2 linked regions of the Neurospora crassa OR74A genome follow. The protein of the gene in region 1 purifies or fractionates together with the protein of each later gene. This does not show direct contact. Links are inferred from orthologs where the notes say so. Each region holds a gene or a part of one and is shown on either strand. Other genes may lie near its edges.

Evidence for each region. Proteins that work in one complex are often made in the same cells at the same time.
Region 2: the proteins of NCU08296 (region 1) and NCU06086 purify together in Saccharomyces cerevisiae (affinity purification with mass spectrometry; 3 studies listed by BioGRID). This does not show direct contact. The link is inferred for Neurospora crassa OR74A from reciprocal best matches to the Saccharomyces cerevisiae genes NAM9 and MAM33.

What each region holds. Positions count from the first base shown.
Region 1 is NC_026504.1:2,501,174-2,506,450, forward strand, and holds NCU08296 (mito ribosomal protein S4), read right to left. Parts: upstream 3,489-5,277; 5' UTR 3,300-3,488; coding exon 3,255-3,299; intron 3,067-3,254; coding exon 2,587-3,066; intron 2,485-2,586; coding exon 1,648-2,484; 3' UTR 1,104-1,647; downstream 1-1,103. Other genes in the region: NCU08295 (RNA-binding La domain-containing protein), read left to right, coding at 4,415-4,678, 4,743-5,277. UniProt on the Saccharomyces cerevisiae protein: Component of the mitochondrial ribosome (mitoribosome), a dedicated translation machinery responsible for the synthesis of mitochondrial genome-encoded proteins, including at least some of the essential transmembrane subunits of the mitochondrial respiratory chain.
Region 2 is NC_026507.1:1,858,899-1,863,331, reverse strand, and holds NCU06086 (regulatory protein suaprga1), read right to left. Parts: upstream 2,242-4,433; 5' UTR 2,039-2,241; coding exon 1,689-2,038; intron 1,629-1,688; coding exon 1,154-1,628; 3' UTR 936-1,153; downstream 1-935. Other genes in the region: NCU06085 (LCCL domain-containing protein), read right to left, coding at 1-418; NCU17215 (hypothetical protein), read right to left, coding at 2,860-3,486. UniProt on the Saccharomyces cerevisiae protein: Not known. Binds to the sorting sequence of cytochrome b2.

The DNA of each region.
Region 1 (5,277 bases):
CCTCGGCCTGCCGCTTCATTCCTTCATTCTCTGTTTTCCATTTGTTCATCTTCTAATCATAACCTCCTAATCCTGCGGGAGGATCCCCTCGCAAGCCAACAGTCTCTTTGCAGATCCCTTCATAACCGGATGGGTTTCTGTTAGAAATTTGTTGGCTGCCGTAAACGGTCAAATTTCCAAAAGCCGGTGTGTTCCGTCGTTGGGACGGGGTGCGGTCCGGTCGACTTTGTTCTTGAAAAGCTAATGCAGATGTAATTGGGCCGGAGGAGCTTTTTCGAGAATCTCTTACTTCACAATGGCAGCATGGTTCCAACAGATATATCCTCTTATCTGCTTTAGGGAGTTGAGTTCCGAAAATATGAGGGAGAAGAAAGAGAGATAATTCGTTGGCTGTTCCCCATCAGATGTTTGCGGCGCAGCAGCAATCAGGCCCTCAACTCCCTTTCGCGGCTCTGCTTGCCCTTGTCTTCTTGACCGACTGTCGGCAACATCATGTTTCCGGCTGCCACCATGACTGACAAGTCGGTTAGGATGCTGTGGCTGGCGGGAGCGAGGAGCAATTCACAACCGAGAAGCTCATAGAGGGATCAGAAGGAGTCGGGTTTGAATTGTGCTCGCGACGTTGCACCATATGCAAGTTGCAAAGGGGGCGTAAGGGAACAGGCGGGAAATCTCACTTGGACGAAAAGCAACGAACGACCAGATATCCCAACAACACATGTATTTTATTAACTGCTTTCATCGGCGATCAGATGTTTTTATTTCACGGGGAATTCTTGTAGGAGGTTTTTCTTTTCACGGTTTACGGTCGGTCATACCCAACCCAACATTTCCGGCCGATTCTCTCAACTGGTGCTTCGCTCTCCAGCCACGGAGGGTTCTTGCTTACCACATAAAACATACACACACTCAACGTACACTTAGCCTCTCCTAGATAGTTATTTCTTAGCCTTTTTCTCTCTCGCGCTCTCAAGGCGAATTTTGCCGTCTTCCTCAGTGATAAGTGTTTACCTTTGCACTGCTCCTCTCGATCGACAATGCTATGATTGGCAATTTTACTATATAAGCACTGAGCTTTCAGAGAGGAGACCGTAGGTGTCTCGGTGGTTCTCATCTGTCTCATGACTTTCTTACGCAAAGAAGAAGGAAATTTGTCTATGCCCCTCTTTATATCCATTTAGTTAATAGTGGTAATGATACATGTAGCGTACATCGATGCCGAAGGGGGCGAACTGAATGAGTCTGCAACAGATTGTTCGGGTATTGAGGAACGAACAAACTGTTACGCGCAATGTGCCCAAAATACGTATGAAGTCAACTCATCTCATGCATGATCCATCCCCGTCTCCTTTTTCTCCGGGAATCGCGAGATTTGCCGCCCACTTCGCAGCTTTCTCATCGAGACCGAACCCGATTTCCAACGCATGGTCCAACTGAAGCCGCAGCAGGTGCAGAGTATCACATCATCCGAGGTTGCCTTGAAGATGCAACAAGCACAATAGAGCGTACCCGCGACATGCAAAAAACTGGGTGCGCGCGACTCTAATCGTCCATTGGCGAATTCTACCGCTCTGAGACGGCAGAGAGTGACTGCCGTTCCTCCCTCCATCTCCCCTTTTCATTCCCTCGCTCCTAACTAGACCTCCTTTAACCTCTCCGTAAGTACCAGTTGAACGCGAGTTGGTTGATAGTGGGGGAGAAAGGCGACGGTACTTCGGACTCGCCCGGGCGCGCCACGGGGTGGCGGAGGTAGACGGCCGCGCAGATGTTCTGGTTGACCTCAAGGTAGCGGGGGATGAACGCGAAAGCGGACATGTAGTTGCGCGGCCTCCAGGGGGTCATGTACGGCTTGCTCGGGTCGATCTCGTTGTCCTCGTGCTCGTCGTTGTACTCGATCACCTTCTTGAGCACCTGGCGCGACTGCTTGTCAAGCTTCTTGCTCAGCTCCTTGGCCGCCTCCTCCTGCTGAATGGCCTTGGAAGGGGAGACCGCAAGGCGCTCGAGAAGCATCGTCAGGTCGTCCACCACGTTACCGGTTGGCGAAACGGACCCGTCGCGCCGCTGCGCTTGCTTGATGGCGGCCTTGATGTCGCGCTTCAAAGCGCGCAATGCTTGCTTGCGCGTCGCGGAGAGCTGGTGAGACGGCGAGTCGGCGATGTGCTTGGCGTACTGCAGCAGACGTTGGAGCTGCAGGAGTTCGTACTTGCGGTTCCAGGCCTCGTCGAACTTGGAGGTGTCGACTTGCTTCTCCTTCTTGCCGGACTTGGAGGCTGCTTCTTGTGCCTCTCCTTCCTCGGCCTCCTCGGCCTCCGCATCCTTCTCTTCGGCGGCTTCCTGTGCTTCCTCCGCAAGCTCCTTCTTGGCGGCCTTCATAGCCGCGGCGAGGAGCTTCTTGTCCTTGGGCGCACCGGTCGCATAGAGGACGCGCTCGACGTCGACTTGGAAGAGATCGCCAGGGTTCAGGAGGTAACCGGGGTGTTTCATCTGCAAAAGGATCGGGTAATGTTAGCGCCGAAACAAGCAGCTTTGGCATGGGTGCACTGTATTGTGGGATTCGGTATTGGAACGTTGTGATGGTGTACATGCCTTCTTGCCGTTGACGGTGACGGCACCGTGCACAACCATCTGGCGGGCCTGTCTCGCACTGCTGGCAAAGAGGGCTCTGAATATGGCGATATCGAGGCGTCTCTCGAGAGGCGCAAAGGTCATTTGCTCGTACGGCGTGGGAACCTTCCTGCCCGGGTTGGCGATGACTTGCTTGGCAGGTTTCTCGTCGGCGGTCTTCTCGTAGGCTGGGGGCTCTGAGAGGCCGGAACCGCGGCCGGCGGCTTGTTCGCTGCCGTTATATTTGGCCATGTATGCCGGGTCCATGTTGACGACGGCCGGTAGGCGACGGCTAAACATGCGCGCCCATTTGCGTTCCTTGATGTGCTCGCCGTGGTATGCTCGTGTCAAGGACTTGGCGAGCCATTTCTGCTGGAAGAATGTCTTGCCGCTGATTCTGGGTTCTCTCCCGGCCGTAGCCAGGTTGTACAGGTTATATTTGTTCCATGTCGGCCTGATGGGCTATTCGGAAGAAGAAGAAGCGCACACAAAATACGTCAGCATGATCGCGTGTGGTGGGTGTTGAGTGTCGTGGCAATGGGACTGGCAGGTAGTAGGTAATGGGGCGAATGGGGTGATGATGCGGCGGCGGCGACGATGACCAACGGCAAACCCGGCGACGGCGGCATAAAACACCGAATAGCACATACCTTTTTCTTCAAACTGTGGTACTTGAACAACCTCCGGATCTTCATGTTGGGTGTGGTGTGTTTGGAGGAGCTTCGGGGGATCGGATCGGACTGTAGGCCCCGTGCTTTTGGCGAAGTGGACGGACCGGTTCGGCGCAGGTTGTTTGGAGATTGTCGAGTCCGGAGCGGTCCGGGGCACCTAGCAGCACTGCCAACGAGGGGAGCTTCCCGGGGCCCTTCCACCTCTTATCGGGCGCCGTCCTCCGAAAATTATTTCAGACCCGAATTGGAGCACGCGCTCGCCCATTGGTCGCATTCACGTGAGAAGCTCGGGCCACTGTGCGCGTCAACTCCAGGCCGGATGGTGGAGAACTGGCAGGCACAGGATGCGGGAGCTAGAGCGCATGCGGTATAGCTCCGCAACCTCTTGGCGGATTGCGGGTGCAAGTGGAGTGGGGCTAGAAGCAGAGCCAGGCGGTAGAAATCGGCACAAAAAGTCTAAACCCAAAGGCGGTTCCCTTGGACCTGGGTGGGGCTGATTTGGTTGCTTGCTTGGTTTCGCCGCTTCCATTTTTTTGCGCTGAGGGGGAGGTTTTGACAAGTGCAGTCCTCGATATGACTCCAATGCCGACAGACCCTGGAAAAAGTCAGGGCAGATGGGTTACGCTGCTGTATGATGATGGAGGGAGGGAGCTCAGTAATGGATGGACAAGACTGAATCAAACTCTCGATCTTTGACAAGGGAATTGAAGTGTGTGTTACAGTTCAGAATTATCGAGGTCCTACCTGACTTACACTACGTGACTACCTCTACACTTCACACACGTCCTGGGATTTGCTGGTGAATGGCCGACTTTCCTGTCGCGTCGATCAACAATCAACCCTGCACCAACCCAACACCATTCCCCCACTGCACCCTGCAATAACATTTTGCGCCTACCGCCCCAAAACTGGAGTGCACCTGAAGGACCCACTAAATAATTTCGTCGTTTTGCCTGCTTGGTCCCCGGTCTCCAGTGCACTTTCTGCATTTTCATCATCCGTTCACCATTATCTCTCTCCCGGCCATCTACATCCATTCTTCTCTTCCGTGCACGCGCGTCACGTTAGACGGTCAATTGCCTTTACAGCCGCTTGTACTTTACCCTTTCAAATACCTACAGGCCACTCCGACCTTCATCATGAGCGATACCACCGCCAACACTGAGGCTGCGCCTGCCGTCGAGAATGTTCAGACCGAGGTCCAAACCGAGACTGTAGAGGCCCCCGTCGCGGAGGCTGCCCCCGCCGCCGAGGAGGCTCCCAAGACTGAGGATGCCAGCAAGGAGGAGGAGAAGAAGCCTGAGGCTACCAAGTCTATCGACCGCGCCGACTACAAGAACAACAGGAAATACGATCCTTCGACCCAGCCCGTCACTGACGATCCCGTCAAGATCCGCAACCAGGTACGATCAGACTACAAAAACAGTTGGCATGCTGCGTGTCCCCGTGTCTAACAAATAGTCTTAGGTCGAGTTCTACTTCAGCGACAGCAACCTCCCTACCGATAAGTTCATGTGGGAGACGACCGGAGGCGTGGAGAACAAGCCCGTTTCGCTCAAGACCATCTGCAGCTTCAAGCGCATGCAGATGTTCCAGCCCTACTCGGCCGTCGTCGCCGCGTTGAAGGAGAGCGCCTTCTTGGATGTGTCTGGCGAGGAGGGCCAGGAGACGGTCAAGCGCAAGAAGGCCTACACTTCGTCCTCTGATGCGCAAAAGGCCCGTCTGGCTGCCAGCGTTTACGTCAAGGGTTTCGGCGAAGAGACCGGATCCACTCAGTTCGACATCGAGGCTTTCTTCACCAAGTTTGGTCAGGTCAACCTGGTCAAGCTGAGGCGTAACGAGGAGAACAAATTCAAGGGCTCGGTCTTCGTTGAGTTTAAGACGGAAGACGAAGCCAACGCCTTTGTTGCCCTGAACCCCGCCCCCAAGTGGCAGGATCAAGAGCTCGTCATCAAGAAGAAGAAGGATTACCTGGACGAGAAGACCCAGCTCATTAAGGAGG
Region 2 (4,433 bases), on another chromosome or scaffold:
ATAACAGAGCGGCGCGCTGCCATGGATGGGAAAGGAGGCGTTCTAGTGTAAGGCGGGGAAGCGATTGGATTGACGGAAGCAGGAAAGGGGTGAGGGTTTGCCGGTGGGGGTGGGAGGAGCCAGAGAGGAAGGTGAAGAGGCGGTAGATTGGGGAAAGTCGGGATTTGGCATTAGATCTCGAGTGTTTGGTCGTCAAGAAAGGTGGCGATGATGTGTCGGTGTTGTCGTCGAATTCGAATTGCTCAATGTAGTCTTCTGTCGATAGCAGTTGGGCTTCTTCGTCTTCTGATGGTTGGTGGTCGTCGTTGGCTTGGGTCCGGGAGGAACTCGAGACAGGTAGGGGGGGATGATAGTCGTCATCGTCGTCTGTTTGGTGTACGCCGCTGTACTGGGCCTGGTGTGCGTGTTTCAGATCCATGTTGTAGTCATATCAACGGTGCTATTTAGAGGCGTTTGTAAAGGTTAGGTATTGAGTAGCGGGTTCTGACTGCGTGTCTGCAGTTTGATGGTGTTCTGAGGCAAGATGTTCACCACAATGCGAATATTGAGTTGCAGTGACTGCGTGAATTAAGGACAAAATGTACGAATGAAATGAATGTAACCGGAATCCTCGGAAACGAACGCAAAAATTGATTAGAAAGATGTCATATCACAAGCACATTCTGACAAAGTATAATGTTTCTGCAACGGAAAAAAGGTAAGACGGAGAAAGGAGATGGACAAAGTTGAAGTTCGATTCAGCTGGGCTAAAAGATCAGTGACCCCAGTTCAACCAATGGCATGACCGCTGGCTTCCAAGGCGAGCAAGGGTAGCATGGCATAGAACGAGAATGGGCAAGATTTGCCATACCACCTCATGACTTGGACCCTTTGCGGTCATATCTCTGGTGCTGTATCAACTTAAAAACTGTCTTGTCCACTTGGACGTTGGTCCTATTACAGCATCTTCATCCTTACACAACCCGTTCCCATCGGCTTCTGTTGCATTATACAAATTTTGGTATGGAGTCGTGATATCAAACGTGGGATATAATTACAGGTACATGTCATACATCAGCTGCGGAATCAAAAAGCCGTCCCGCAGCCTCGAATCCTCTCGCCTTTTCCTTGTTGGATTTTCCATTCCTCGTGACAGTATCTCATCTCTCCCCATTTATTGGGCATCGACGAAGCCCTTGAGGTTGTTGAGCCACCTGAGGTACTCCTTCTGCTCCTTCATGTCAAGGTAGTCGGGAACGAAGAGGGCAAGGGCCTGGTTGATGCCACGGTCCTCGAGGTAGCGCTCCATGAGGACCTGGAGATCCTCGTCGAGGGTACCGAAGGGAGGGCCAGGGTAGACAGCCTGGGCAGCGTGCTGGGTCTCGGCGCTCTCACCGTGAGCGAGCTTGGCGTCGTGGTAGTAGAACATGTTGTCGACAACAATGGAGCCGTCCTGGGCAACGGCGTCGATGTTGAGGGCACCCTTGCTGGGCTTCTCAATGACGATGTTGAGACGGACGGGAGCGCCGCCGTCCTCACCCATGTCCTCCTCGTTCTGGGCACCCTCCTCGTCACCGAGAGCCGTGTCCTCGTCGAACATGCCAGGCTCGTAGTTCTGGAGGTCGGCGATGGAAAAGGAGATGGTGATCCTGGCGTACCTTGGTCAGCGCATGGTTCTTGATCGAAGTCATGTTGGGGGTTCAACTTACTGCTCGTTGCCAAAGGTGCGCTTCAGGACAACGTCCTCCTTGCCGGGGGTATCGACAAGCTCAAAGGGGCCGTTCTCAAGGAAATCCTTGACGGTGGCGGGAACGGGCTCGTTGGAGGCAATGTCCTGCTCATAGCCAATCTCGGTGGAGAGCTTCTCGGAGAGCTCAGAGTCGATCTCGGTGGCGGCAGCGCGGAAGACGGTGGTCGAGAAAGCCTTCTGGGGGAGCTGGGTCCTGAGAACGTTGCTGGTAGCGCGGACGGTGGCGCGGCCGAGGGTGATGGGAGAAGCAGAGACGGCACGGAGAGCACGGGGCGCAGTGGTGCGCGCGACAGCACGAAGAGACATCATCTTGACGGATTTGGTGGGGGGTAGTTTGTTGACTGTAGATTGGAAATTCGGGTCCGATCGTGTTGTTGCGCGTTGGGACAGAGGAGTGTTGTCGAGGACGGAAGCTGGGGTAAGTGAGTGGACGAAGACTGGAGCGAGACGAAAAGATGGGTAACGTGAGTGATGGAGAAATTCGATGACAATCCACGATGGATGGTTTTGATCATTGGATCCGCTCGCTGAAAGCTCCACGAACCTGTGCCGAGAGCAGCTGAGTGGTCCCGTCTCCAGAAATCTTCAAAAGCTCTGCAGTAGCTAGCGCAAAAAAATGCCGAGCACAGACCATCCAATGAGGCCCCGGCTGCGGGGACAAGAGGCAAGAACCCCATCGATAAAGCGTAGCGCCAGCCGATAAGCTCCCACCTAGCGGAAGTTCCCCCACAATGACGCTTTGGACCCACTAAAATTTTGTCAGTCTTCAGTTGAGGTTCAGGTGCGCGTAACAACGGGCGGCCTACCTCCAGCTCCATCTTCGACTACTCACATCGCGCCCAGAGGATAATTGTTCATCAATAGCTTATTTTAGTCGACTATATACGGAACTGATGGTCTGCTTTTACGATTTGTTTCCTCAACGCCATACCACTTAACACCTTTATAAGTTCTAGCTATTCTACCAACAAGTAAAGGGTCCAGCATTCTTCTGTTCCAGGGTCCAGATCGGCTCGACTGGATCCACACTTAACAAACATGGCTGCCAGGAACCGAGTGCCTTGGATGCCTCGGATCGATACGACAAATGACATGACCAATGCCAGCAATACCCACGCGAACAATCTGATCTATATGAACCGCCCATCATATCTCCCCAAGTCTGCCCTCATCTTCCCCATCCTCCTCAACCTCCTTTCGAGATCCTGTTGTTGTCCCTGTTGCTGTTGCTCTGATACCGGTAATGCTGCCGGTCCAGGCACGTACTCCCTCCCTTGTCCTTGCAACATCATCAATGTCGTCGTCGTCGTCGTCGTCTGTCCTGATACCGAGATCCGTCTCTGCTGCTGCCCCCTGTCATAAACACCACCACTGCCACCACCCCCTCCAACTCCATGGTGATAGTTGTTATTGTTGTTGTATCCATACATGGAGTTCACACCTTGCGCTCCAATGGGTACACTAACACTAACACTGCTCCCCCTCCTCCTTGGTCCTCCGCCTGTGCTGCCACTCGAGGTGCTACTCCCACTGCCACTACTGCTTCGAGACCGGGATGCCGGGAGGGTTGCTTCGTCCTGGCATTGCCAGCACTTGTACCCCGTCTGATCTCGTTGGCCGGAAACCCCGGATAGGCAGGAGCCAAAGATGCCGCTGCCGCTGTTCCTGGCTACGGAACAGAGTTGTTCTGAAATGAGGACTGTGTCCTCGCTGCTGCACCGGCGGCACACGCGGATGTGGGTCTTGTAGGTGCACATTTGCTTCGTCTCTGGTCTTGGGTGCCGTAGTGTGTGCCCGGTCAAGTCAACCAAGATGATGATGGTCGAGAAGATGTGTGAGATTGCGAATGCTAATCAACGGTGAGATGGATGATGGGAGATAGGTATGACTGGGGAAGAGCCGGTACTCACGTTGAGATTGTTAACAAGCTTGTAAGTAGTGAGTCCAGCTTGGAAGCCCAAGTGGAATGATTCTCGTTCTTTTTTTCGAACCCACCTACACACATAATCCGGTCCGAAACCCGTCCTTGGTACAACTAACACTCGAAAGCACAGTTGGCTGAGACAAAGCCAGCGTCTAATTCTCTCCAGTGCAACAGATATGTTTAATGCGACTGCCTCGCTGATAGGTGATATAGGTCATAGACAACACCAATCGAAGTGCATGAAAGCATGGAAGATGGAAAGGGAATATAATAAAGAATGATTTAGTCTGTTTCAGACTCCAACGCTCACCCATAAAGGCTTGCCAGAGAAATAGGGGGCTGACGTACTACTTATCATTTTGGGGGAACTGCCTGGAGTTTGCCTGCGTCGGTTGTGGCTTGTCAGTTACTTTCAACGAACTCGGAGGAGAACTGCACTGCACTGGACTCGACTCACATGGCATGGATGGATAGATGGATGCAATGGATAAACTCGACGTCAGTCCAGTCCAGGGTTTGTTTCCCGTGTGTGTGTGTGTGTGTGTCTCGCGCGTGTCGTTCGTCCGTCCATCCGTCCTGTCGTGCCCATTGTGACTTGTGCATGGCCTTTGGGTTGGTAGGTAGCTATGCAGTGCAGCTCCGGCAAGCCGTATATCCTGAGTTTCACGTTTGGCAAGCAAGTTAAATGGTTCTCCAATCGCATGACAGTTCCTTCATCATTAGAGGAGCGAAAGGTTTTGGGAAGGGGGAATGGATATCAGCATGTGGCATCGTGTCAAA